4 linked regions of the Mus musculus genome follow. The protein of the gene in region 1 interacts with the protein of each later gene in a biochemical or structural test. Links are inferred from orthologs where the notes say so. Each region holds a gene or a part of one and is shown on either strand. Other genes may lie near its edges. The genes, in order: Tln1, Itgb3, Itgb1 and Ret.

Region 1 (7,600 bases):
TTATTATTTTTTATGTGTTTGGGTGTTTTGCCTGCATGTCTGTATAACGTATATGTATAATGGGTGTGCCTAGTGCCCACATAGGCTAGAAGAGGGTGTCAGATCTCCTCGGATTGTAAGCTGCCATGTGGGAGCTGGGACTTGAACTCATGCCCCATGGAAAAGCAGAAAGTACTCTAAACCACGGAATCATCTTTCCAGTCTCTAATTAATTTTAAAAATTCCACTTAAGCTAGGTGTGGTTGTACATGCCTGTAGTATCAGCACTTGGGAGGCAGAAGAAGGAAGTCAGGATTTCAAGACCATCCTTGGCTAGGGTAGTTTTTGAGGACAGACTGAGCTACATAAGACCATGTCTCAAAACTAACAACAACAACATCTACCCTTATCCTAAAGCAACATCAATCTTCTTATAATTTCCATTCATTTGATTTTCCTAGAGTCTCTAAAGTGATATAGAATATATCCTTATCTTAAGGTACTTTCAACTTTTTTTCTTTCAGAAACTAAAACTGAATAAAGTTAACTCTTACATTCTCTGATAATGCCTGTCAAACTTGGACACTAGCCAAGAGTGACATCATACACTTGTAATCTAGTCCGAGGGAGTTAGAAGCAGGAGAATCAGGAATTCAAAGGCATTCTTTCCCTACTACATAGTTTGAGGCCAGCCCAGCCTGGGTTTACAAGACCCTGCCTTAACAACAAGGGCCAGAGGGCGTGGCTCAGCAGTGAGCATTGATGAACATTCATGAGGTACTGTACTCCAATCCCAGTGGGTAGGGGAATTATGGCATGCTCTGGCCAGTGTAAAGGAAGACAAGACAGTTACTATCCTAGGGACAGAACCACTATTGATAATTTCCAAGTTCCGTTTCCTTTCCTCCCAATATATTGCTCATTCATCTTGTAATAGTGATAGAGGGATAGGGGATGGTTTCTCACATAGCCCAAGCTTGCCTGAACTCAACATGAAGCTAAGTCTGTCCGTTAATGCTGATCCACCTGCCCCAAATAAGTAAATATCTACATATCAGAAGTAAGACAATATTAAAAAGGCAAATGACATTAAAAAAATTTGCCACAAAAACTAGATGCAGTATTCTTGTAATCCCAGCACGTGGGAAGTGACTTTGAACTTGTGAAGACCTTCCTGCTCCTGCCTCCAGAGTGCTAGGGTTATAGAGGGGTGCACCATCATGTCCAGCTTTGACGATTGTTGATGTTGTTAGACTGAGTCAGCCTCTCAAGCATTTCTACCACTGAGTATGATTCGAGGTCCCAAGATAACAACGGAAGCTATCAAGGCCCTTCACTTTCAAGGCTCTGTACTAAAGTTACATTTAAAACATTATCTTTTGACGTGGGTGTGTGTTTGGAGATGAGAGAACTTGTAGGAGTTGGTTTGTCCTTTTGCAAGTGATTGATATGAAACAAACTGAGCTTGCCTACTTGGGTTACCAACCCCCTCCAGCCTTTGCTCTACCAACAGGAGCCTTACCTTAGTGAGAGGAAGGGTTGAGGGCAGAGTGAGCCCCTCCTTCTCCAAGAGCTTCTTCTCTTCCTCGGTCAGTATCAGCCTAGACATCTCCTAAGGATGGAGGAAATAGTGAAGAGAGCAGAGTTGCATGGAGCTCTCAGAGCAGTATGGGGGATCTTGGCTGCTGCAAAGTGAGGTAATCCTGAAAAAAAAAATCAAGTCCAGCACCTGTTCCGCTGCTCTTTCCTCCCCTGGCAGTGGAGTCACGTGGAACCCCTCCTTTTCGAAGCTCTCAGTATCTGCAAAAGGGAAAGTAGAACCAGCTAGCCCAGTGAGCTCTCTCCTCCCCCACAACTTATCATTTCACACTCACCTAGATCTATGGAGACGTGCTCCTGTGGAAGGGAGTAGTTGTGATCATGGAGAATGGAAGAGCTGGAAGAGCCGAGAACATCCCGCGATACTGAGGGACTGAGCAGAGAGCTCAGTAAATCCTCTACCTCCCAGTCGCTCAGTTCTTGCACGGAGTTCTATCAAATTCAAAGGCCTTGATTTATTTCCGTACCTTGGGTCTCGCGGACATCCCTAGCTTCCCCCACTGGGAACACCCACCCACCCACCTCGGAAGGTGACAGCTCTAAGTCCAGCGGAGCCTTCACGTCCGGCTCAGTCGCAGCCCACAAATCTCCGCTTTCCTCTAGCAGGAAGCCCAGCAGGTCCTGATCACCGGGATCCAAAGCTAGCAGATCCTGACCACCAGGATCCATTTGGGATATCTATGGATAGAAATCCCTCCGCGCAGATCCAACCTCCGAACCTCAGGCACGACCCCTCAGTCTGTCCAGTCGGCTCGACTTAACCTCCGTCACTCCGGGACAAGGGCCTAGCTGTCACTCTAAACCGCACCCGTCTCTCAGCTTCTGTATTCCTCAGCTTCCAACACAACGGAAGTGGTGCACATAGCCCCGTGGAATCCTGGGACTTGGAGTTCTCTCCAACTCGGAAGTGGCTCCTGGGCTGCGCCACGTCCCGGGGGCTATGCAAATTATGGGGACGTCCTTTCAAGCTTCCCACGCCCCAGGGCGGGGATTCTGAGGATCCTTGTCCGCCTTCGCCTCGAGCTATTAAAAAAAAAAACTTAAGCGTTTAAAAGGGAACTCCAGCTTAGTTCGGGCGTTCTCTCCAGAGCTCTGCACGCTCGCTTCCTGCTGGGGAGGGGCGGCCAGGCTTCGCGGGCGCCCGAGCATCGAGAACTACGGCCAGAGCAGCTTCCTGCAGTCTCCGCTACCATAGAGCGCGGGCCCAGGGCGCCGCCGGCGGGTGGGGGACGTTTCCAGGACGGAAGTGGCCGAGAGTGTGTCGAAGGGAGGGCGAGGCCGGAGCCCCAAAAGCGACCGGGAGAAGGAGCGGGTAGCGGGCCCAGGGCGGGGCGCAGAGCCGGGCAGCGCAGGTAGGCCGGACGGGCTGGGCCGAGCTTCTAGGTGGGGCTGCGGGATCGGGCCAGCCCGGGAAGCGGCGGGCGGGGCCCCCAATCCTCCTGCATATCCTGTGTCTGGTTAGGGAGGTCAGGGTCCAGTATGTTTCGGTTTGGATTTGGAATTAAGCTGGCCTTGTTGCGAGAAGCAGGCCCTTTCGCGGGGGTAGACAGTTCTCTGTCTCGGCTAGGTTTGGGGACGGGTAGAAATGGGGTGGCAGTGAGGCACTGGGTGGCAGTGAGGCACTGGGCGGGGATGGGCTTTGGTATTAGCCGATAGTGAGTAAGTGGTTAGGAAAACTTGGGGTGAGTTTGGGTTAGGTGCCGTCGCGTTTAGGAAGCAAGGATCCCTTTAGAAGTTAAGAAGGTGAACTACATTCTAAACATTTGCTGCACGAGTCAAGTCTGTTTCGCATATGTGACATTTAAACTGAGGTCATTATTTTCTGCAATGACCAGCATTAAGTCAGAGTACAGGATCGGGTTAAGGATCAACAGGAATTGGCTTAGATGCCCGTTTTAGGGATTAAAGGCCGGTGTCATGGTCAGTATTAAGAATAAACAGTGAAAAGGTTAATTAAGAACCAAGTTACAAATGAGCTTTAGAACTGCAGGGTGGGGTGGGAGGGAGTATTTAGGGTTAAATTTGGGGGATTTGGGCCTAAAAATAAAAGCCAGATTAGTATGGGTGTCTTCTGGGAAAGGGGTGAATGTCAATGTATAGGGAAATAGGAAATAAAGTCAGCATTAATGTTAGGAATTGGTGATAGCGTTAGGGGTTGAGGCTGCAGCTACAGCTGAGCTGGTAAAATGTAAGAAGTTGGCAGGAAGTAGCTACCTTTGTTTTGTAGTGAGTTCTCTTATTCCTGTGCAGTTACAGAGGCCTCTTTTACCCAAAGAAGTGCTAGAGCTCTGGACCTCAGCTAGAAGTGCCAGGACTCTGCTTTCTCTAGTCTACTGCCTAAGCACAAGGCTTCCAGAGGCCACCACCACTGGGAGACAGGGATTTCTGGGCTGTGATGTTTACGAGGTGGGAGGTGGGAAATGGAAAGAGACCCAGGAGTCAGACAAGGTCCTAAGTGAGGATGGGGAATAGGAAGCCTGTGACTGAGGGGAAGCTGACCAAGGGAACGCTGTCGACTAAATGATGACAGTTTGACTCGAGCCTCCCTCATTCTCCACACACTGCCTTCTCTCTGTCTCTTTGCCCTCCCTGGTCCCACATTGCATACCTTTACAGTTCCTTACAGATACTGTCGTGGTCTTTAGCTCGTCTCCTGCTGTTCATCTGAACCATTTCCCACCCCCACACCCCTGTCTCTGTCTCTTGATCCACACATCCTACTTTACTTCATGTCCCTCAAACCTGAGCTTTCCCAACATCGGAGAGCACTTTCTCATACTTGCATACCACCTGGTCAGCTGCTGAACCCCCCCCCCCCCCGCCACCGGGCTCTTCCCATGTGTACCCCCTGGTTTCTGAGCCTCCTTTTACTTCTAGGTCCAGTTGTGGATCCCCTTCCCCCACTCCCCGACAGAAAAGAGGAAATGATACCCAAAGAGGAAACTTGGTCTTACTGATCCCACGCCCAGCCAGGCCACTGACCACACCCCCATGTCACTCCCAGCTTGACCCTGCCAGTGACCACAACACTGTCCCCTCCCCATGCTGCCTCTCCTTCCAACCCAGGGTTGCCTAGCCGCTGTCAGTGTTCTCTCACTCTCTCCCCACTAGCCCAATTTAGCAGCTTACCACATCCCTAGCTCTTCTGGAGCTCCTGACCCGGCCTCCGGCCTCCCTGTCATCCCCGGTTTAGTCAGCATCCATGGACTCATGCTTTTCCCTCCCCACCTGCTCAGTGGCTCATCATGTGTCTGTTCCCTACCATCACGCTCCTGGTCTCTTTTTCTACACCCTGTGATCCCCAGCCACAGCCTAATACTGTCAGTAACCCCACCTCTGTGCCCCTGCTACAGATACTTCCTATCGCATCATTTACCACCCAGCGTCATTCCCACATCCTGACTTAGTCCCCTCTCCTTCCCTGGTTTATTAAACTGAAGCTGTCTAGTCAGTAAATGGGTACTGGTCATAGGAAGCTGATTTTGGCTTCAGTTTTCTGAGTCCTGTATGTCAGTTCTACTTTTCTTCTGAATGGCAACTTCCTCTCCATACAGCTTTAACTCTGGCTTTATTATCGCTTATACTAATACAGTCTCCTCCTAACTTGGCCCCAGAGTTGCCCGAAAACCCAGTGCTGGGGATGTCCCTGTTTAAAGCTTCCTTGGCCTCCTGTTCCCCTCCAGTCAGTTAGGTTCCTCATACTGCTCTCTCCGCTTTTGCCTTTCCATCTTAACCCTGACGTCCCCACCGCTGCTCCCTTGCAGGTGCCCCGTGCTCCAGCCAGCTTGCCTCCTCACTTTCCTGGGCATTCCTCCGAGATCTCCTGCCTCTCAACCTTTGCTAGTGCTATTCTCTGTGCCTGGGACGATACCTTTGACTCATCTTCGACTGACCTAATGGAGAGAGCTTGGGCTTTGGAGGCAGAGAGACCTGGGTTCGGATTTTGGCTTCACAGCTTATTATTTGGACAAGTCCTTTGGAAAAGTATTTAACATTCTGGAGCCCCAGCTTCCTAACCTGTAAAAATGGAGATGATAACACCTACCTTGCAGGGTTGTTGTAAGGATTAACTGAAATTATATATGTATCTAATGCAATTAACATATAGTCAATAAATGACACGTCGCTGTAACTTCTTATTATCTTCATATTTTTAAAATTCTAACTTCAGATGATAGCTTCCTTGGATCCTTCGCTCCCTTTCCCTAGCCTCCGGGGCTCCCTTTTCTGGGTGAACACGTTTGGCTCCTTCCACAGCCTGCCTCTGTTGTAACTCTGCATTTAGCTTTTCCCCACCCCTGGGAGGCTGGCAGCCTGCGGAAAGCAAGGTCTAGTCTTACTCATCGAGCTTCCTGGCCTTCCCACCATGGGCCTTAGAGAATGCATGGAGGGAAAAGCATACAGTGAAGGAGAGAGGCTGGGAGCCGGCACTGGGGCTGGTGCACTGTGGGGAAGCTGTGTGCACACGTGCTGCCTACAACAGATAGATCCGTATAGCAACAGCACAGGCAGTTTGGCGGGAGGGAGTCCTGTGTGTAAGCTAAGGGGCCTTGGTGAAGAGTGAGAATACATGTATGACTGTGAAGACAGACCTTGTGCTGGAGGAGGTCAGATCCAGCCTCTCAGCTGCCCGGTCCAGCCTGAAAGGAGCTTCCAGCAGCCCAAGGCCGGATATGTCAGTCTCACCCACAAGCCCCTCCCCCTCCCAGCGGTTGAGGACTCAGAGGCCAAATTTGGTAACAGACTGCATGTTATTCCCCCAACCCTCTTACATTCTGACTCTGTCTTCAGCTTTCTTTCTCCCTTTGTCCCTTTTAACTCCCTGTCTCTGTAGTTCGCCCCTGTAGGTACCTGCACTGATGATATTCTCCATGTACCCCAAAATTCCTTAGCCCTAGTATACTTGCATTCCATTCCTTGCTGGGATTTGACCTCCTGTCCTCCACACCCCCCCTCCAATTGCCCAAGGCCTTTGGAATGCATCTCAGGAATGTATTGAGGGAGGAGGAGTTCTCTGGGAAGGGGACATGGAGTGGGTGTTGTTGCTCTTCATAAAGCCTGATAAAAGGGGACAGAGTTCTCAGAGCAAGACACGAAGCAGGTAGCTTCTGCTCCTAGTTCCTGGGCTCTTGTTCTTTGCCACTGCTAGTCCCGACTCAGTGTCCAGTTCCTTCACTCTCAATTAATTGTGTAGATAGCTACTCAGCCTGGAGGAGGGCAGGCATGACTCAACTCTCTTATCAGGATCTTACCAGAGGAAGAAGTGGGTATCCATATGTCCGGAGGAAATGGGGGCGGAGGGGCACACATGCAGTTTCAGCTGAGGCTGGAGTCCTTCAGTACTGCTCTGGTTCCGTGGACTGGTGCTTCTCTGACCAGCCCTCACTCCACAGCCAGGTCTGTCCACTGCTGGGAAGGTTCCCTAGGGGGAAGGAAGGGAGAGAGCTGGGACTGAGGGGGCCGGGAGGTCCTCTCATTTGGGGTAAAAATGGAGAACAAGCCATGCTGCTTTTCTCTGTAATCCTGAACTGTGTGTATGGCCAGAAATTTCCTCCTGGTCATTGATCCACCTTTCCCAATCCCTTTTTCCTCTGCCCCTTCCTAATTTCCCTGGTTCTCAAATGCCTTTTGTATTGTGATGCCTGCCTGTTCCCTGGTTTTTCCCCTGGGTCCTGCTTACCCCCTTGGAGTAGCCAGTTGTCAGGTAGGGAAGGGGGTGGGGGCTGCATCCCTCTCTTTTTAGTTAAGAGGCACCTAGTCCAGTACCACACTGGGTCACATCATCAGCTGCTGGGCAGACCTGTTGTCTTGGGCCTGTGTACCACCAGCTGCTCATGGTGTCTGAAAGGTTGGGGAAATGGGCTTGGCTTTGCAAATGCCGAGCTACGCTGAAAGCACCATCTGGAACCTAGTTAAGGTGGGGGCAATCTGGGGAGGCCATGCATGATGAAGAGTGCAAGAGACTGCAGTAAGGCCTGAGTCTCAGTGTCTGCACTGTTGGTCTTGCTTGTCTTGAAACTTT
Region 2 (6,962 bases), on another chromosome or scaffold:
ACCTAGGCCAGGCCGTATCATATTAGTTCTCATTCTCTCATTCTGTGTGTGTGTGTGTGTTTCTGTGTGTCTCTGTGTGTGTCTCTGTTTCTGTGTCTCTGTCTCTGTCTCTGTGTGTGTGTGTGTGTGTCTTTCTCTGTGTCTGTGGGTGTGTGTGTCTCTGTGTCTCTGAATGTGTGTCTGTGTGTATCTGTGTGTCTCTGAGTCTCTGTGTGTCTGTGTATCTCTGTGTGTACCTGTGTCTGTGTGTCTCTGTGTGTGTCTGTCTGTGTCTGTGTCTGTGTGTCTCTCTGTGTCTATGAATCTCTGTGTCTGTGTGTGTGTGTGTGTGTGTGTGTGTCTCTCTCTGTGTGTCTGTGTCTCTGTATGTGTGTCTGTGTGTCTCTGAGTCTCTGTGTGTCTCTGTGTGTGTACCTGTATCTGTGTGTCTCTGTGCCTCTGTGTGTGTCTGTGTGTGTGTGTCTGTGTGAGTGTGTCTGTGAATCTCTGTGTCTGTCTCTGTGTGTGTGCATACACAAGTGCATGTTGGTGCTAAGGATTGAACCCAAAGTCTCATGCATACCAGATAAACGCTCTACCACACAGCTCACTCAGATGCCTCACGGAATCACAACTACTGAGACAATCTAGACTCCAAAGCCCTTCAAGCTACCTGTGGCATCATAACCATACCCCCAGATAGCCAAAAGGGCAAGAAAGGAAGCCATTAAGCCAGACAGGAAGATTAAACTCTGGATCCCCATTTACCAAGCATGGGCTCTCCGTTAGACTCTCTGAACCTGTATTCCATCAAGGGTTTGGTCACAGCAACAAGATATGCAATTAATACATAAGCTAATCGAAGTCAGAGCTGGAGGTGTAGCCCAGTGGCAGGATCTATAGTGAGCCATCATAGTGCTTCTCCCCTGAGAGCTGTCGTGGGACCAAATAAAGCGGTTCTACAAGAGTTGGGCTCAAGCTATCATGGCTGTTATCATTAACACTGTTTTACTGCAACAATCAAGCAGATAGCCAGTAAATTTACAGATCATGCTCTGCTCTCCCCGACTAACTGATGTCTTTTCTGGGGGAACATGGAGCCCAGGCAGAAGTTTAGAACTGTCCCACAGAATTTTTTTATAAAGTTAAGAAGTAAAGTTATGCTTTGTCAGCCTAGAAATCATCATTTTAATATACTTTATTTTTAATTGTGGAGGGGAGAGAAAAAAGAGAGCAGAGACAGAGAGAGTGGGTGTATGCAGGTGCCCACGGAGGCCAGAAGGCAGCATTAGATCCCCTAGAGTTGGAGCTAGAGGCTTGGCTCAAGAACTGTCTGACCAGCTGGGCAGTGGTGATGCACGCCTTTAATCCCAGCACTTGGTAGGCAGAGGCAGGTGGATTTCTGAGTTCGAGGCCAGCCTGGTCTACAGAGTGAGTTCCAGGATCAGCCAGGGCTACACGGAGAAACCCTGTCTCAAAAACAAACAAACAAACAAACAAACAACAACAACAACAAAGAACCGTCTGACCTGGGTACTGGAACTGGACTCTGTTGGATCCTCTGGAAGAATGGGAGGCATCCTTAACCACTGTGCCATCTCTCCAGCAGTAGTAATCATAGTTTTAAATCACTACTGTACATAGATTTACAGTCTTTGTCAAGTAAACCATTCACTAGTAAACTGCTATGGTTTGAATGTGAGATGGATGCCACAGGCTCACGCGTCTGGACACTTGGTCCCCAGGGGCGGCACAGTTTGAGGGAGGCTATAAAACCTTTAGCACAGATCCTCGCTGGCATACATAGGGTTATATGTGCAAGGATGGATTGTTCCAGGTCAGCTCTCTGTTCAGCCCTGGTGGTGTGTAGCAAGCAGCTGCCACAGGTTCCTGCCACCACAGACCAAGCCACTTTACACACTCCATGCCTTACCTGTCATGATAGAATACAGACTCGGAGACGTGAGCCAATATATACCTTTCCTCTCTTAAGTTGCTTCTACCAAGTGTTTGATCATAGCAGCAGGGAAAGTAACTAAACATAAGCCAACAGAGGCCCAGGGCTGGAGGCGCAGTTCAGAGGTAGAGCACTCGCCCAGCAAACATAAGACCCTATGTACAATTCCTAGAGCTCCTTTGACCCCAGAACCTCCTGGGGACCAAGTGTTCAGACGTGTGAGCCTGTGGGGCCCACTTCACATTCAACCCATTGCAGTTTACTATTGAATGGCTTACTTGTTGAAGAGTGTAAATCTATGTAGAGTAGTGATCTAAAACTATCATTACTAGGGCTGGAGAGATGGCCCAGTGGGTTGGCTTCTGTCTGTAAACAGCACGTGGGAGGGTGAGGCCAGCCTAGGCTACAGAGCAAAATTCTCTGTCTGTCTCAAAAAAAAAAAAAAAAAAAAAAAAGAGGTGAGGGGCTAGAGAGATGGATGGATGGGTGATCTTCCAGGGGACCTAGGACCCAGGTTAAATTTCAGCAACCACCTGGTGGCTCACAGCCATCTATAACTCCAGTTCCAGGGCATTCAATACCTTCTTCTGGCCTCTGGCAGCACCAGGCACACACATGGTACACAAGCAAGCATGCAGGCAACACTGATACACATAAAACAATAAATTTTCTAAAAAATGTATTTCTATAAAGGAGGTGGATAAAGAGAATGTAGCCATTTATATACTGTTAAAGAGTTCAATAAAGTGATTTAATTTTCTTGCACTCTAACTTTGTATAATTTGTGCCCTTGGTGACTATAATAGGGACCACAGAACTAATTCCTCTGGAATCACAATTACATTCTTATTCTTCTAGACTTCTCTCTGCTTTTGAGCTTGCCCCTCCCCCTCACATCTGCTCATTTGTGACAAAGCCGAAAAGCTGGTGGCACTTCTGTAGAAGACCCCTGGCAGCTATGAGCCCTATTGACACAATACTCCAGATAGTAGGCCCATCTCCCAGGCAGGGAACAAGTTGCAAATGCTATGGCTCTTGCATAAAGCAGTCAACAAAATGACCTGAAAGATGCTAGAGAGGTGGCTCAATGGTAAAAGCACTTGATGCTCTTCCCAGAAGAACAACAGAATTTGGTTCCCATCTCACATCCACCTGCAACCCCTGTCCCAAGGGATCTGACACCCTCTTCTGGCCTCCACGGTCACCTGGCACACATGCATGCGAACAGGCCCAAACACACGCATAGAAATAGAAATTAAAAACATAAACTTGTAAAGGAAAATCCTGGAGCTAAAACTGGGAGCCAGGACTTGGACCAGCCTTTGATCAAGGGGGAGGTGTTTCACTGGCTTGTGGAGAAAGTCCTTACTTGTAACAGGGGTTTTTGATTGCCTGTGGTGGGGAGATGTACATGTACGGCGATACAGGCTTGTCCACGAAGGCCCCAAAGCCAATCCGAAGGTTGCTAGTAAGCTTGCGCATCTGAGAGGCCAACTTGGTACCCAGGGTCTGGATGCTGGACAGATCATCCTTCATGGAGAAAGACAGGTCCATCAAGTAGTAGATGTCCACGGGGTAATCCTCCACCTGCCGCACTTGAAGTGAGAAGATCTTCGAATCATCTGGAAGGCAGAAGGGTGTTAGGGTTTTTTTCCTGCCTCCTCTTCTTCTAGGATCAAATACACGAGCAGGCCTCCATGGAGGGTTAATAACTGCTTGATCAAATTATGCTTGAAAGTGTTGGTGGCCTCCCCTCTCCCCACCACATACACACACACACACACACACACACACACACACACACACACACACACACACTCCACACCTCCTGCCCTCTTGCAGCATCTTGAACCTCTTCTTTTCCACTCTATGATTTCCCACCATCTCTAAATCCCCATGTGTGGGACCCTCTGGGTCCCCAGGGTCTATACTCTAAGTCATACAACTGTCAGTTGCTTCAGTTCAGACGCTGTAAAGCACAGGCACTATGCTGGATATAGTGGTGCGTGCCTGTCATCCCAGCATGCACGAGTCAGAAGCAGAGAGACTACTGCAAAGTCAAGGCTAGCCTAGGCTACATATGAGTTCCTGACTGACCAGAGGTAATGTCTCTAAAGTAAATAGCACCGTGTTCTCTCCACATCCCAAAGGACTCTTTGCATAGAGTGGATCTCTCTCAAGCTCTTATTGATTCAGTCAAGTCAAGTCTAGATACTCCAAAAAGCTCCCCTTAGCCTAATAGCATTCCCTTTTCTGTCCCTACTTTGCCTGCTCCCACACAGTTCCTGTGCCCTGAGGGAAAGAGGCTTACAACTTCCTTTCTCATCCTTCTGCTTATCTGGTCCTCCATCAGAGCTATCAACTAGATAGCACACATCAGGGGGAAGCAGAGCCACAAGGAGCAGTGTTGTAGGGTGGGGGTTCATACTCAGATTTTCTGACTGCAATCCTGACCCCTTTCATTGTCTTCCATTCTCCTGCCCACACACCCCCACTCCCCATCCCCTTCTCTTTCCACCCCAGTCCTATCCTGTGCTGCCCCTCCCGGGAGGAGTTCCCGCTCAGACCTTCAACAGTTGATGTCCTGTGCCCACTGGTTTCAGGTCTCTCCCCAAGATGATCCCACACCCACACCGACACCCACGCTCACCTGGCCGTAGTCGAAGGGCAATCCTCTGAGGGCTGACTTGAGTGATCTGGGCGCTGCTTCCAGAGCCCTTGCTGCTGAGTGGCCTAGCCTCCAGGATCTGGGCCTCACTGACTGGGAACTCAATAGACTCTGGAGCACAATTGTCCTTCAGCAGGTTCTCCTTCAGGTTACATCGGGGTGAGCCCTGAGACAAAGTCTATGAAGAGAAGAGCCCGAGGGAAAGGTCAACATCAGAGCTAGGGCGGCTGTGCCTCCTGCCTGGTAAGTCACCTCCCCCTGGCCAAGAGCTTCTCTGGCTCTTTGGAGCTAATCTAGCATAAAAGAATTGTCATGGTCCTTCCATGGTTAATCCTCAGGGGCACGCACAGGAAGGGAGAATAGACTGACTTAGTGTCTGTTCATGGATTGACAACAGAGAAGAGGGACCATTAAGTAAGAAGCCTGCTAAACAAGTATTTTCCAAATTGTAAAATATGATTACTTTGTGAGTCTCAAAATCAAGTTTACTAAGTAAAACATAATTAAATAGAATAGAAAATATCCAAGTATATAAATAAAAGTTTCATTATTTGGGGAATCTTTTATTTACTGGAAGATGGCACCTATAATGAGTAATAGTCCATGAGGTATTTCTTTCTGTGGGTCAAGGTTAAAACCATTTATCAATGCTGTGTTACATGCTGCCTGTTTTATAAGGTCCATGATTGTGTGTTTCCTGCCTCCCTTCTTTATCCAAGACAAAGATGACAGAGCAGATATGGTGGAGGGTAAAGAATAAGAGCCCAAGAATGAGCTGGCTGAGACTGGCTGAGACTGACACCCCCACCCCCTCCAGGCATTGTCACCACTGACTGGGTACCAGAGCATGACACACAGCTCACTTCCTTCAGCTGTATCATGAAGGGGAAAAGTCACCCTTGGCTACAGACAGCAATCAAAACCATAGAGACGCAAAGGGAGATTGTGGCTGCCAGGGGCTGAGGAAAAGGAGGAGGAGGAGGAAGAGTTGTTTAATGAGCCCAAAGCTCTAATTTTGCATAATGAAATTCAGTTATGGGGACAGATGACAGTGAGGGCTTCACATTATACATAGACAACGCCACTCACCTGGACACTTAAGGTGGTTACGGTGGAAAGGAATGGGTAGGAAGGGGCTGGGGAGATGTCCAGTCAGGAAAGTGTTTGCAGCACAAGAATGAAACCTGAGCTCAATCCCCAGCACCCGTGTTAAACACACACACACACACACACACACACACACACACACACACACACACTCACACTCACACACACACACACACACACTCACACACACACACACTCACACACAAAGAGAGACCTGGGTATGGTGACACATGCCTGCAAACCCAGAGCTAGGGAGGCAGAGGCAGGAGGAGCCCTGGGACTTGCTGACCAGCGACGTTAGCCATCTTGATGAGCTCCAGGTTCAGTGAGAGACCCTGAGTCTCAAGAAATAAGGTAGAGAGAAAGGAAGACACACAAAATAGATCTCCACACATACACACAACCACACGCACACAGAAAGGTCAAGATGGTAAGTTCTGTTATATGTATTCTACCACAATAAAAAAAAAAATACTTTAGAAGGAATTAGCTATTTAATAAGAAGAACCTCTCATCGTAGGAATGCCATGCCAGGCTAAATAACACCAGGCAAGCAGAAGGCACTCAGCAGGAGTCAGCTGTCAGCATGCTCCGTTGAGTAGTTCCTGAATAATCTACCTAGGAATAAACTCCACAAGCTGAGGAAAAGTGCCAGAGGACAGGTGCTGGCAGCTCTCTCAGCTTCCTCCTTCACACTGGACAAAAAAAAAAAAACCACACTGACACGTATGTATCACCTCAGCCTCAGGGTCTGGGTCTGTGTGTCACATGCAAGAATGAAATGTTCTTGGAAGGACACTGAAATCAGGAAACAGGCCTCAGATCTAGGTCATCACTAGCTAGCCACGTGACACCACAGAAGTCACTCTGAGCCTTAGTTTCCTGATTTGTTTGATAAGTGGGGTTAACAACAGGATGTTTTCAGTTCCATCGTACCCTGACACTAGGCATATTTAACCAGCACTGCGTGAGCTCATGTCCAGCCGTCACATGCCAGGTTGGGGGACTGACCTGAAAGCTGGCACACCCCTACCTGCCCCTGTTTCTAGGTCTTCAGACTCTCCTAACTACCACCATTCAAAAGCCATCATCAATATGTATATGCATATATTCAAGAACAACTATTAACATTTACTGAGCCCTCACTGCATACAGCATGGGACAAGCACTTCAGGAAAGTCACTGCAATGCTCACAGCTTGGTAATGCTGGAATTACTACTTATCATTTCACAGGTGAAGAACCTCTAGGG
Region 3 (7,433 bases), on another chromosome or scaffold:
AACTTGCACTCATGTGTGCAAAGTCATATGAAGACATACATACCTACACATAATTTAAAGTATTTTTTTTAATTTAAAGAAAATGGTTTCTCATGAAAAAACAAAAATTGTACTCTTCAGTACTTAGATCAGGCAGTCACTCCCTCTTATCTCAAAGTGAGAGCAACAGTGCAGATGTGAAACCAAAGCCCTAGGGAGTGGTGCACCAATGTCATACAGTAATCCAGGTTCAGCACCTGCACTGAAAGCCAGGTTTCCCATGTGAAGCCTCTCCTCAATCAAACTGCAGCTCTGATCACTGCTCTGGGGGAATGGGTGTGAAAAATAAACTAGTCTTTAATTTAAACATGCTAATTGCTGGAAACCCCCACAAATTCCTACACTCTCTAAAATGGCCGGCAAAGGATCCAAAAGTTCAAAGAAAATGGGAAAGTGAACGACTTTCCCTACTCTCAAGAGCCTTCTCTACTCTACACTCCGGTGCTTTTATTTTGCAGCCTATACTATCAACCAGCATTGATAGATGGAAAATTCCCAAACTCTAGGCCCCATGGTCACCTTAAAGAACTCAGCATGGTAGATCCTACGCTCTTGTAGTAGCACTGCCTCCCTGGGTAAATGCACCACCTGGCCATTCACCTTTCCATTTCCCTCAACATGAACCCCAGGTCACCAATTCCCCTTCCTACACAACATAATTCTTGTTTCCCTACTGGCTACCACTTGGGATCTATAAGCTTTTTGAGTTTCATCTCTATCACTAGAAAAAAAATTGGCCATGCACCCATTATTTATAAATTAAAACATATATTTTATAGCAATGCAATAACATTATACATGATAAATACGTTGAACTTTTAAAAGCTATAAACAGAGAATGCTCTTATAAAATGCTTATACTCAAAAGCCGGGCATGGTGGCACACTTTAATCCCAGCACTCGGGAGGTAGAGGCAGGTGGATTTCTGAGTTCGAGGCCAGCCTGTTCTACAGAGTGAGTTCCAGGACAGCCAGGGCTACACAGAGAAACCCTGTCTCGAAAAAACAAAAAAAAAAAAAAAAAAAATAAGTAGAATAAAATGCTTATACTCCTTACAGACTATTAAGTTATTTTACATAACCCTGGGGTTAGAAACCTGTTATTTTGAAGCCTTGGTAAAATGCTCCTACAAGTAAGAGATATGTATGTATGCATATATATATATATATATATATATATATATATATGCTTGTTTATATAAATTTATATTTGTAATATTTAATATGTACATGCATTTGCGTGCATACAGATATATATGGGCATGTATGTCTGCTCTAATATGATATATATTTGAAGGAGCCTCTTTTCTCACGTATACATTTTATGATGACATATATGCTAGACATACGGGTAAAGATAATTATTCTTATCTTCTAAAGCCACACACCAAAAATAAAGTTTTCAAACTCTGAAAAATTTACAATATACATGCTAGACATATTTGTAAAGATAATTATTCTTATCTTCTGAAAGCCACACACCAAAAATAAAGTTTTCAAACCCTGAGAAATTTACAATATGCATGCTAGACACATTGGTAAAGATAATTATCTTTATCTTCTAAAGCCACACACAGAAAAATAAAGTTTTCAAACTGTGAAAATTAACGAAGTAGTTTATTCTTTATCACACAGCTCCTGAAAGTGAGATACACTGCCCTCACCTATCTACGTCAATTTCTAAGCAGTCAGAATTGTGTGGACTGTCCTTTAACCTCAGTACACTTCTGATTTCTGAGACTGTATACTGCTACTACTTTAGATCTGATCCAGAAGACTCAATTACTATCTTTTCCCCCTTTATCCTCACATTCCTGATTGCCAACTATTTGACATATGATAAACAAAAAAGTCTGAAAACCTATAACCAAAGTCCCAATAAACAGTACTATAATAGAAAACACTAATCAACTCTGAAACTCACTAATTTGCAAACAAATGGTAAAAGCTTATTTTATCATATTCACCCCATAATGAATCTTCAAGTCAGCTGGGCTTATTACACTTCAAAAACTTTTACATTTAAATTCTGAGGAAAAAAAAAACAATCCTCTGAAACTTTTACTAGTGTCAACATGTTTATCTCATCACTCTGGTAACACAGGTAAGAATACTAGTACTCATACACTCACGGAACACTAATAAAATTATTTTCTCCAGACAACAAACTATGATATACACCTCCCTCTCTACATGTAAACCAGGGGGTGGGGCTCTGTTAGAAAAACACCAGAGAGTAAAGGAACTACATTAGGCAGAAAGCATTCTGGACAAACATCCGTCAAGCTAATTAATTTTCCTAGTAATAAAGAGTGAGGAGAGGTGAGCAGTGTTCATGGAGTTAATCAATACAGAACTATATTTTCATTTCATTGATGTTGATTCAGAACAGATTCAAATTAGGCTGACCAGAAAATTAAAGACAACTGATTACTTTTCAACTTTGTTGATTCTGTAATTTTCATGTACAATACTGAAGATTACAAACAACCTGGTGGGAGGGGGTAGGGGAAGACATGCTCTTCCAGAGGACCTGAGTTCTATTGCTAGTGCCCACATACCAGCTGACAGCCACTTGTGGGTACTGTTCCAGGAGATTTGACCCCTCTCTTCTGGCCTCCACTGGAGCGGCATACACACAGGGCAAACTTACAAGCAGGCAAATACGCACCCACATAAAATAAACAAATCAAAGCCTTAAAAAAAGGAAACAACCTCAAACAGTGAGATGGCTCAACACATGAAAATGCTTACCCAAGCTGGGCAACCTGAATTCAATCCCTGAAATCCACATGATAGTGGAAGAAAAGAAGAAACCTCACAAATGTATCCTCTAACCTCCACCTATGCTCGGCATACATTCCCACATGCAAATAATTATAAATTAAAATTAAAGAAACCATCTTAATACTGAACTTCATATCCTCAACAACAGATTCTTCAACTGCAGGCCTGTAAATTCAACAGATAAGCTAGAAACTGCTTTCTACTCACATAAAAACTAGAGTTCTAGTATCTTCTACTCTCCCCAAGTGCCTATATACAACATGCCAGTGTTTCATCCGTTTTCTATTTGTCATTCTATCATTTCTGATCATTAACCATGGTTGAATGAATCAAAATTCCTCATAAACTTGGATATCATATCATATATTAAGATTCTGATGTCAGTCCTTCCCTTCGGGCCTTGATGTCCATCAGTATGCAAGAGGTAACTCTAAACTAAAATTTCTTAGTCCATTCTACAGGTTATCTAGGATATGACCTACTGTAATGGCTGTGTGCGATTTAAAAAAGAAATCTAATCAGAATTCATCTAACATTTATTTCTGTCCTATGCAAGCAACAACCACCATTAAAAAATAAAAACCTTAAGTCATACTATCCTCTTCATACCCAAGTGGAATGGCATATCCAGGAGACTTTCCTAATACTACCAAAACATTCTGAGAAGTTTGTAGATTTTTTTTAACATAGCAAAAGCAATGAAAAGTAATTAATGTATATGAAGCATTGTTGTCTAAGTTGTGGTTTTACATTTCACTACCTACTGTGTCCTTTTCTTTTTTTTCTTTTCTTTTTTTTTCTTTTCTTTTTTTTTTTTTTTTTTTTTTTTTTTGAGGCATTGCCCTGGATTCCTCTTGCCATACATATACATACACACACACACACAAAATGCCTTCTTTATTTTACATTAGTTAGGTTACTTAAAGTTCAAATATAGGCTCTGGAGGTGAGCCCATGAACTCTCCAAATTACTTAAAACTCCTGCACCTCAGTTTCTTCCTTTGTAAAATGAGATAGGCAGTCCCAATACCACCATGGATCAGGATCAGGGTTCTGCAGTGAGGTCAGTACATGCTGGGAGTTTACATGCTGGGAGCTGGGTCTGACCCTCGTGTCACAAGAATTACTATAATTAGTGTAGGAACTCCTTTTCTCTTTTAAAGATGAGGAAACGGAAATAGGATAATTTATTACTAGTTATTACTAGGTTTCAAATTAAAAGTTCAAATTCACTGTGGCATTCGGGATCAGCGCGGTCATTAACCCAGCCTGTCACTAGGAGGCACGAGAAAGGGTAGGCAGCCACACTCCACGAGGCCCCGGGTGGGCACCGCCTCGCGGACCACGGGCGCTGCGGCCTGGTTCCCAGGGTCCCGCGCCGCGCTGGGGAAAGGCGCCCGCTGGGCACCGACGGACCGAACCCCTCTAAGGTCAGCGGCACCCAGATCCCTGTCGTACCCACCCTTGAACCCCGCCACGCCCCGGTGTGACAGACTGGGCTCGCGACCCTCCCTTAGGACAAGGCCGGGCGGGGCGGGGAGCTGCAGCCGAACGAGGCCGAGCGCCGCGGTCCCTAAAACCGGACTCCACCCGGCCCAGGCCGCAGAGACACGCCTGGTTAGCCCGAGTTGCCCGGAGCCCACGCCCGCACGTCCACACGCCCGCGGCCTTACCTTTTCGCAGCGTCCGCCCGACACGCGGGCGGCCCGGGCTCCGCCGCGTTCCGCCTCTCGGAGGGTCTCGGGTCGGTGTCGGCGGACCTCGGCCTTTCGGAGGGTCTCGGGCCGGCGTCGGCGGGCCTCGGCTTCTCGGTTGGTCTCGGGTGGCGTCGGCGGGCCTCGGCCGCTCCGCGGGTCTGGCGGCTCTTCAGCGAGTGGGCGGAGACTCGGCCCGCCTGTCCCTCAGGAAGCCGCCCCGCCCCGCCCCCGCCGCGAAGCTCTTTCTCCCGGGCTGCCCGGCTTTTCTCTCCCTCCGGAAACGCATTCCTCCGCGCCGCGTCAGCCGCGCCTGAAAAGGAGGGGGAGGCGGCAGGAAGAAGGAAGGTGGGGCAGGGTGCAGACAAAGGAGCTCGGTCGTTCGGCCCTTTCTGCCTGGGGTACCGCGCTGAACCACCGAGGGCGCCGGCCGCCCGGCTGGAAAGCCCAGCCGCAGTCTGTGTCCGGTCCCTGGGATCCCGAGCCAGACCTCTCTGTGGGCTGAGGGGACAAGAAGGATCGGGTGTTCTGCAGGCAGCCCTCGGACCCGCCCCGTCACCCTAAGATTGCAGACTCCCGCTCCACCCTTGCTGTGCCACCCTGCGCTCCTTGGCGCCGCATTTGCTCAATTTTCTATCTGGGTGGCCAAGCACAAAAAGGAAAAATGTTATGTTTGCGCACTTGCTTTCTCTTTTCTGGAAAAAGAATTGAAAAGTAGCCAGTCTCAAAATCTAAATGAGAAGCTTGAAACTTGGACTTGCCTCGTCATACTGAAAGCTGTGGGACAGCAGGTGCCATCAGCTTACCCGAAGAGTGTGGGCTGCCAGGAGGAGCAGGGCACCCAGCCGTAAAGACAGCTTTCATTGCCGGGTTTATGAACCCAAGAAATAGTGTTTCTGTTCTGGAAGAGTAAAACTGGGATGCCAAAAAAAAAAAAAAAGATTAATCACTATGGAAAAGTTATATGTTGCCCATGAGCAAATCAAATGTATTGTTTAACTAAAATTTTAATAAATGAGCATCGTTTTTCTAATTAGTAAATGACTGAACTTAAAAGGCTACGTCTGCATCGGCAGCCCAGCGGTAAAGCTCAGTGACGTTCGTTGCCTTTAAAGGTATTGATCTTACCACTTTGAGTTAAACCATTAGCCCAGTCTCTGCACAAGAAACAGCTTTATAAACATACTTTATCAATGCTTGGCCTGAACTGTGTGAGCTTTCATTCGTGTGACTTGAGGAGGGAACAATCTACCACAAGATCGACACACACACACACACACACACACACACACACACAAAATAGTGTTTGTGCTGCTCTCCCAGGACTCAACCTAAGCTGTCAGAGGAATACCAATTTACATGTACAAGTCATAAACTTTGAAGAAAATAGAAATTAATAAGTTCCATAATTGCTCAGAAATGTAGCTATACTTGAATTCATAAAAATGTTAAGAGATGGGCAGTTACTTAGCTATGTAAAATGCATGAACATTGTTCTAATTACTTGTCTCACTACTGGGGCACAATAACTGACAAAGCAACTTAATGAAAGAATTTATTTTAGCTCACAGTTACACGGTACAGTCCATCTCAACAAGAAAGTTGTAGTGGCAGAAGCATGAGGTCCAATTACACCCACAGCCATTTACCCTGTGCCTGGAGGATTGAAGTTCTACCTTGGCAGAAAATATAAGCTGCCTCTTGCTTTTTCAAAATGTAAGCCTTTCTCCACTGTAGCATTTACTGTGCTGTTGGTTATTCTCCCCAGCAATAGCTATTGCAGCTATTTAGTAACAACCCAAGGGTAGAAATAGAATTCTTTCCGTGAAAAAGAGTGAAGTATAGGAAACAATCAAGTAGGGGGCTGGAGAGAGGGCTCAGCAGTTAAGAGCACTGACTGCTCTTCTGAAGGTCCTAAGTTCAAATCCCAGCAACCACATGGTGGTTCACAACCATCCGTAATGAGATCCGATGCCCTCTTCTGGTGTCTGAAAATAGCTACAGTGTACTTACATATAATAATAAATAAATCTTAAAAAAAGAAACAGTCAAGTGGGCCATCAAAAGCCCCTGTCCTACATTTTTTTATCCCAGCACTTGGGAGGACTCAGAGGCAGGAGAATCTCTCAGTTTGAAGCCAGCCTCATCTATAGATCGAGTTGAAGGAAAGGGAGGGAGGGAGGGAGGGAGGGAGGGAGGGAGGGAGGGAGGGAGGGAGGGAGGGAGGGAGGGAAAAATTCCTGTCTTGCCCAGGATCCTTCTTTGTTTGCATTTCTCTTTGTGCTAGAGCATTTTCTTTCAATCGTCAGGATTTCCACTGCCAGCCACAGACTGAGTCTGAGTCCATGAAGGTAAGCAAGTTCAAGCTTGGATACATTTTTCAGCCTGAGTGGGTCTCTCAGCCATGTTTTGTTTCTCCTCAATATCTTTGCTATCTTTCTATCCAGCTCATGTATTACAATGTTTGAGCAGTAGTAGAATTTGGAATGCCAGACAGTTCATATTTGAGGCAGTCAGAGATGAGATGTGCCAGTTTTTCCAAACCACAAGTTTTCTTCCTTGGTAGACTCTAGTCATAAACAATCATTATCTACATTATTCTTGTTCTCCATGTACCAGATAGAAATAATCTTCCTTTAGTCACTATACACACAATCCTCATCTTGGGGTCCATTATTGGTTCTAGCACCAGAATCTCAAATTCAACCATCATGGTAGACTAACCCTCCATCTTGGACCAGGGTATAGGGGAAATGCAAATGTGATCTTGCTTGCAATGTATGCACGGGGTGTTTCCATGTCTTCATCTCTATTAAGAGAAGATGAGGAGCACTCTATTTTCTTGTAAGGAAAACAAATTTTCCACTTGGTCTGTGTATCCAAATTAGCAAAATAAAAATAGGTTCCTGAGTCT
Region 4 (6,962 bases), on another chromosome or scaffold:
CTGGTATGTTACACTTTGTAAGTGGCTGACGACGGTTTCTCTCCACCTTCTGCGATGTTCACTCACAACTATGCACTTTTTAAGTTTTAGTAACTGAGAGATTACTGATGTTTCAGGAAATTAACAGCTAAGAGTTCCAGAGACCAGTGGATATCGACACTGGCCACTATTTGTTCTAAGGAAGGTCACCTGCAAGGGGGATGTCTCCAATTGCAGGGAGGAAATCCTAGAGTCACAGGGTTAGTTGACTTATCACTTGAATGTTGTTGTACAAGACACCCACCAGTGACACCACCAAGAGCCATTGCTCCCTCGTCATTATTGCTCTCCCACAATTACAACAGATTCGCTGTGACATTTTAGTTATGTGTAGAAACTTTGAAATGAGCAAGCTGAGGTTTTTTGCACCAGGAAGTTAAAACGAGAGAAAAAGTTGACACATTTTATGATTTATTTTATTTACACAACTGAAATTATTTCCTTAGTCACCTTGATTACAAAAACAAGTCAACACGGTATGGTTTAATGGCCTTTCTTAAATAGATCTTACAAATTTAGTGGCTGACAGATAGCTACTTAATACTCAGTAATATTTAATAAGGGGTAACTTCTGCATATATGTAGATGAAAAATCTGTCTGATAGTGCTAACAAGTATAGGTACTTTAACAAGTATGGGTGCTTTTATATCTCAGGAACAGACAGACAATGGTTATTAGTCAAGTGTTAATTCCTCACAAATGGGCCAGCTATTTAGACTTGGAGCTCAGCCCTTGAGAGCTAACTTGCCCTAGCAAGTCACACTTACCGTGTAGGCATGTTGAATAATTTGAATTCATCCGTATTTTTGCACTTAATAAAACTACCATTAAACACATCTGAAAAAACAAAATGGGTCCCATGACTAGAGATATTTATATAAAAAACCTTATCACAGTGTATCTGAAAAAAAAATGGCCCAAAACTAAAGCCATATTATATGTTAAAATAAGCATTTTTCATCTTCCTGTCTGTCTGGCTATGTGTGCACACAAATATCACACACACTCCATAAGGCTCTATCTGGTATACTTATCTGAGCATTCTCAGCCACATAAAATGTCACAATTTTACTGTGTTTGTGAAATGCCCATAAAGATATAGTATTTTATTATGACTATTTAAAGTCCTATCACAGTGCTTCAAGTCTGAAGACCAGGCAGTGTTTTGGTAATGTGACCTTTTCATGGGAAGTGACAGTCCACAGACAGCCAAAGAAACTTCCAAGAGCCACCCCTAAAGCCCTAGAGGAGTGCTGAGTGTCTGTGGCTACAACTGCCCATATAGAAAGACAAGAACCTTACACGTGAGTCGTGGTTAGAACAGAGACCAAAACACGTACCATAGCAGCATAAAGGACGGCCGGAAGAGCTGACCCATGTGCCTTTCACACAAGCTCTATAAGAGCCAAAACCTTGTTCTCTCACCTCAGTCAGTGTCAGGGAAACATCTAATGCAACTAGATGAACTGTCCTTCCCTTTGGGCATGAGCTGGCAAGCCAGGGATTAAAACAAGACAGACCCACCTGTCCCCAAGCAGAGGGTGGGCACACTCTTTGGTGGGTAGGGTGTACTGCAGACTGGCTTGCTGGGGGTGCAGAATTTGTGGCTCAAGGCCTCTGATGACAGCAATACTGGACCTGAAGGCAACTCTACTCCAAATGCCCCGCTTCTTCACCCTGTTCTGGTCAGTGAGTCGGAGTCACGCAGCGTGAATGTTGCCGAGGGCTCAACAGGGGGACTAGGTCATGTGGGGTCACTTCTTTCCAGTTGCCTTGTATATAGCAAAGGCAACACCAAATCTCTCCATTGTGCTAATTCTAAGAGCCATTTAACCATGACAGAAACAAAACATTTTCCTAAGAAAAGGCTACATGGCTAAAAAACCCAAAAATCTATATTCAGGATGTCATATATTGAGCCGAGGACAGCCCGGAGGCTCCCTTCTCCCCTCCAGCCCTAGTGGACCCGGGTGGATGCAACTACCCAGTCCTATGCTAGGCTTTCATTCTAGACAAGGACAGGTCGTTCTGGCCAGGTTTTTCAATCAATGTTGTTTGTATGTGTGCTTCATGTTAAAACATTTTTGGGGGGACGTGGTAGGTTTTTTATCAGCCAGGAAAATCAGACAGTTCAGGTACAATTTCTCATCCAAGTCATGAATGGCAGACCCCACACATGTGGACACAGAGCTCGTGGTGGCTAGTGATGAGCAGACCAACAGAGGTGCTACCCAATGCTAAAGGGAAAGGGGATCTAACCAGAGACTCAGAGCACCCACCCAATGGGGCAGGTGTGCTAGGAGGGCAGACCACCAGGAGGGAGGACCACCAGCTATTTGAAGTAAAACCATTTGGAAACCAGCTAAAACAAACTACAGAAAACAAGTCTGCCACCTAAGGCTGGTCTTGGCCAGTATGATGTGCACAAAGGGGCCGGTGGACTTGATGCTCTTGGCATGTTTCTTCCCCCTTGGGAGTCCATTACCGTTCACAAAGGAATGTTAGCTATCAAATGTGTCCATTAATTTTGCCGCTGAGGGTGAAACCATCCAGTTAGCATATACACTATCATTTGCATATCTTGGGAACCCAGTGCTAGTGCCATCGGCTCTCGTGAGTGGTACAGGACTCTCTCCAGGCCAGTTCGGGTCTGACATGCCTAAAAATGAAAACAGATAATTTGTTCTGCACTGAAGAACTCAAACTTCATGTGCAGACAGTAAGGCCTTGGCAAAACTCCCTTTGATGGTTAAACCAACTTGCGCTTTCCGTGCCAATTCCATTAATGGTTTTGCATCCCAGGTTTCCAAAACACTGTTCTACATGGGGCAACCTTACATGCTCCTGGTACAGGTAATTTAGCAGAGGCTACCAAATCTCAAAGCCTATGAGTTTAGAGTCTCAAATCTGAAACAGATCTGGTGAAATGCTCAACTGTTTTCCCAGGACAGTGTAAAGCATCAGCGAATGGCTGGACTATATGGCTTCCTGTAGTGGGAACCCTCTAGGGGCTGTTCACCTGTCATCCCTGCTAACACGGAGGAGGAAGACTTCCTTTCCCACAGGGGGCACACACAGGCTGCCCCCGCAGCACTGTAGGCACAAGGCAGGTAGTGAGGACCTGTGACTCAGGAAGCATGCAGGAAAGAACCTACCTTAGCTTGAAACTGCAAGACTTCAAAAAGCATCAATGAGGAGATTAGGAAGCAGAAAAAAAATTTCAAGTATTTAATCCAAGACAAAGAAGGAGTTTTGGCAAGAGCCGTATTTACTGTCCATTGCAAGGCCACAGCACCACAGACTATGTTCTTTCAGAAAGCATTGGCTCAGTATTTAGCACTGGCTTCGTGAGTGACAACATCATGATGGGGGTAGGGTGCAAAGGATGTGAAAGCAGCAGTCTGGTGTCTGCCCAGGGCCCACATGGTTTTCCCGCTGCCCCACACTGCACGGCTGTGGACACATAGCTGGAAGTGGGATTATGGTCGGCTTCCGCGAGGCACACACCAGCCCAGGAGCAGCCTGGGGGTAGCCCAGCTTGCAACGATAGCATAGCTGGGGATGCCAGCTTTCCCTGGCAAAACTGACTCCCTCCCCAGATCAGGTAAATTTAAATATCGAAGTCACCAGTACTATGATTTGCTTCCCAATGGGCCCTGAGAATTCTGCTCTAATCCGCTTCTCCTGTGTCATCGTAAGTTGCTGGGCTGTGTGGTAATGACACTTATTTTCACATCCTTTTAGAAAGACATAGCTGCAAAATGCCTGAATGTATGTAAACTAGATGCAAAGTCAGATATTTACAAAGAAAAGGGTTCGGAGGAGGCTTTGGTGTCGGTGGGATCAGAAACACTCTTTAAAAAGCGTTACAGAGAGTTGGGATGGTGCAGAGAGGACAGCGTTGCTAGAATCTAGTAAATGCATGTGAAATTCTACCATAGAGTTTGTTTTCAATCCATGTGGAAGGGAGGGAGCGCGGGAGGGGAGCATTGTTACAGTCCACCAGGGGTGTCTCCTCTTCTGAGAGCCCATCGTCATACAGCAGTGAGTCCGAAGGTGTGGATGCAGCCAGGTCCAAGTAGTCCTGGAAGAGAGAGAAAGAGATGGCCAGTTATCCTTGACCCTGGGCCATTCCTAAACATACCCAGGGACCCTTAATGCACATGGGGCAGAGGTGCTGGTTGTACCCCTATCCTGTACTGTTTCTTGGCCTCTCTGTTAAGACCACAGCCTCCATCCTGGAGGGTAACACTGAGGTAAGGCACTGAGGTTCCTTAATCCAACCAAGAGCAGAGGGCTGGGGAAATGGCTTCTCTGTATAGTCCTGGCCTGAAAGCACTCCTGGTCACAGTATTCCTGTAGAAACATAGTGTGCCAAGTGGTAGGTTTAACCCAATGGATGCTTTTCAGTTTCCCTCCCAGGACCTCTTCTGTTACAGGGAACAGATACAGATGCAGGGACCTCAGCTCCCATGTACAACAAACGCAAGATGCTTGCCACTTAATATTGTACCACTTAACTATGTAGACGATTCCAGTGTTGGGTTGGCTGTTTCTCAACACCGCGATTTTGGCATCTATTGTTACTTCTGCTCAAGACAACCTTGAACCCACAAATCTTGGAAGATTTTCTCAAAAAACAACAAAACTGTGTCAATGTATTTGAGGTTGTTCACTTTCTTTATCAGATTCAGTATATCCATTTTATGTATCCATTTTATTTTGAGTTCTTTGATGCTTTTGGAGCCGAGTTTTGTGCAGGGTGATAAATGTGGATCTATTCTCCTTCAGGCAGTCATCCAGTTTGACTAGCACTATTTGTTGAAGGTGTTGTCTTTTCCCAGTGTATTTCTGGGTTCTTTATCAAAAAACAGGGGTCTATAGGTCTGGGTCTTCAATTTGATTCCACTGATCAACATGCCTATTTCTGTGTCAACACCATACTGTTTTTTTTTTTTTAACTTAGCTTTGTAATATAACTTGAAATAAGGGATTGTGATATGTCCCATAGTTCTTCTATTGATCAGGATTGTTTTAACTATCTTGGATTTTTTTTGTGTGTGTGTGTTTCCATATGAGATTAAAAATTGTCCTTTCAAGATCTGTGAAGAGCCGTGCAGTTATTTTGATAGAGACGGAATGGTAGATTCAATCTTTTAGCAGGATGGCCATTTTCACACTATTCATACTACCAATCCATGAGCATGGAGATATTTCCATTTTCTGATATCTTCTTCAGATTTTTTTCTTCAATGTCTTAAAGTTTACATCGTGTACCTGCTTTGCTGAAGTTATCCTGAGATATTTTATATTATTTAGGCTGTTGTGAAAAGTGTGTCCCTGATTTCTTTCTTAGCCCATTTGTTATTTGTATATAAAAGAGCTACTGACTTTTTAAAGTTAATTTTGTATCAAACTACTTTGCTGAAAGTGTTTATCAGATGTAAAGAGTTTTCTGGTCCAACTTTTTTGGGTCACTTATGTTTAGTATTATATCATTTGCAAATAGATACATTGACTTCTTCCTTTCCCACCTGTATCCTTCTTTTCTCCTTCAGTTGTCTTATTGCTCTAGCTAAGACTTCAAGTGCTGTACTGAATAGGTAGTTGATAACCTTGTCTTGCTCCTGATTTAGTGAAAATGCATCCTGTTTCTATTTAAGTTGTTTTTGGCTTGCTGTAAAATTGCCTTTACTCTGTGTCAAGGTATGTCCCGTATATCTCTAATCTCTTCAGGACTTTTATCATTAAGAAGTATTGGAATTTTGTCAAAGGCCTTTTCTACATCTAATGAGATGTTCATGTGGTTTTTGCCTTTAGGTTTGTCTAAATGGTACATTACATTTACCCATTTACCCATGTTGGAACTATCCCTGGATTTCTGGGATGAAACTTACTTATCACTGTGGATATTCTTTTTGATGTGTTCTTGGATTTAGTTTGCAAGCATTTTATTGAAAAACTTTGCACCTATGCTCATAAGGGAAATTGGTCTGAAGTTTTCTTTCTCTGTTGGGTCTTTATGTACGTTAGGTATCAGAGTAATTGTGGCCTCATTAAAATAAATTGGATAATGTTCATTCTGCTTATATTTTGTAGAATAATTTGAAGAGTATTGGCATTAAATCTTTGAAAGTTTGCTAGAATTATGTGCTAAAATCAACTGGCCTGGGGTTTCTTTTTGGGGGAGGGGTTGGAAGACTTTTAATGACTGCTTCTACTTCACTCGAGTTTACAGGTCTGTTTCAATTGTGTATCAGATGTGGATTTAATTTTTTGAGAAAAGTATCCATTTATTTTAAAGTTGGAAACTTAAAAGAGGCTTTTAAAGCATGTTCTTAGGATTCTCTAAATTTCCTCAGTGTTTGTTGTTATTATGTTCCCCCTTTTCATCTCAGATTTTGTTAATTTGGATATTTTCTCTCTCTCCTTCTGAGTTAACTTGGAAACTATTTCCTCAACAGAACATCATTAGCACAGACACTAATATCAACAATTGATAAAGGGGATAAAACTGAGAAGGTTCTGCCCAGACAAGGACAGCATCAGACAGAGCAGCAGACTACAAAAGGAAAAGGTTTCCCCACTACACATCTGATAGAGAGCCAATTAAGTACCTAAAAAATCCTGGATAGTAAAAAACACATTCCCAATTAAGGAGGGGTATAGATCTAAACAGAGCAATTTCAAAAGATGAAATTCAAATGGCAGGTCGCTGGTGAGGATATGGACAAAGGGGAACCCTCATCCATCACTGCTGGGAAAACAAAACTGTATGGACACTAGGGAAACCAGGGTGGCAGCTCCTCAGGAAGATGGGAACTCATCTACCTCAAGACCCAGCTAAACCACACTTCGGCATATACTCAAAGGATGCTCTGTCCTACCAGAGACACTTGCTCAACCATGTTCACTGCTGCTC

Evidence for each region.
Region 2: the proteins of Tln1 (region 1) and Itgb3 form a complex in vitro, tested with the Homo sapiens proteins (6 studies listed by BioGRID and IntAct, with this or other methods). The link is inferred for Mus musculus from reciprocal best matches to the Homo sapiens genes TLN1 and ITGB3.
Region 3: the proteins of Tln1 (region 1) and Itgb1 form a complex in vitro, tested with the Homo sapiens proteins (3 studies listed by BioGRID and IntAct, with this or other methods). The link is inferred for Mus musculus from reciprocal best matches to the Homo sapiens genes TLN1 and ITGB1.
Region 4: the proteins of Tln1 (region 1) and Ret interact in a surface display test, tested with the Homo sapiens proteins (2 studies listed by BioGRID and IntAct, with this or other methods). The link is inferred for Mus musculus from reciprocal best matches to the Homo sapiens genes TLN1 and RET.

Annotation. Positions count from the first base shown.
Region 1 is NC_000070.6:43,557,460-43,565,059, reverse strand, and holds the start of Tln1 (talin-1), read left to right. Parts: upstream 1-2,476; 5' UTR 2,477-2,930; intron 2,931-6,675; exon of another isoform or gene 6,676-6,801; coding exon of another isoform or gene 6,802-6,975; intron 6,976-7,600. Other genes in the region: Creb3 (cyclic AMP-responsive element-binding protein 3), read right to left, coding at 1,502-1,591, 1,709-1,779, 1,854-2,010, 2,101-2,247. UniProt on the Homo sapiens protein: High molecular weight cytoskeletal protein concentrated at regions of cell-matrix and cell-cell contacts. Involved in connections of major cytoskeletal structures to the plasma membrane.
Region 2 is NC_000077.6:104,629,994-104,636,955, reverse strand, and holds part of Itgb3 (integrin beta-3 precursor), read right to left. Parts: intron 4,783-6,962; coding exon 4,587-4,782; intron 3,559-4,586; coding exon 3,306-3,558; intron 1-3,305. UniProt on the Homo sapiens protein: Integrin alpha-V/beta-3 (ITGAV:ITGB3) is a receptor for cytotactin, fibronectin, laminin, matrix metalloproteinase-2, osteopontin, osteomodulin, prothrombin, thrombospondin, vitronectin and von Willebrand factor.
Region 3 is NC_000074.6:128,683,025-128,690,457, reverse strand, and holds the start of Itgb1 (integrin beta-1 precursor), read right to left. Parts: upstream 4,805-7,433; 5' UTR 4,499-4,804; intron 1-4,498.
Region 4 is NC_000072.6:118,151,312-118,158,273, forward strand, and holds the end of Ret (proto-oncogene tyrosine-protein kinase receptor Ret isoform c precursor), read right to left. Parts: intron 4,125-6,962; coding exon 3,945-4,124; 3' UTR 2,700-3,944; coding exon of another isoform or gene 2,542-2,699; 3' UTR 437-2,541; downstream 1-436. UniProt on the Homo sapiens protein: Receptor tyrosine-protein kinase involved in numerous cellular mechanisms including cell proliferation, neuronal navigation, cell migration, and cell differentiation in response to glia cell line-derived growth family factors (GDNF, NRTN, ARTN, PSPN and GDF15).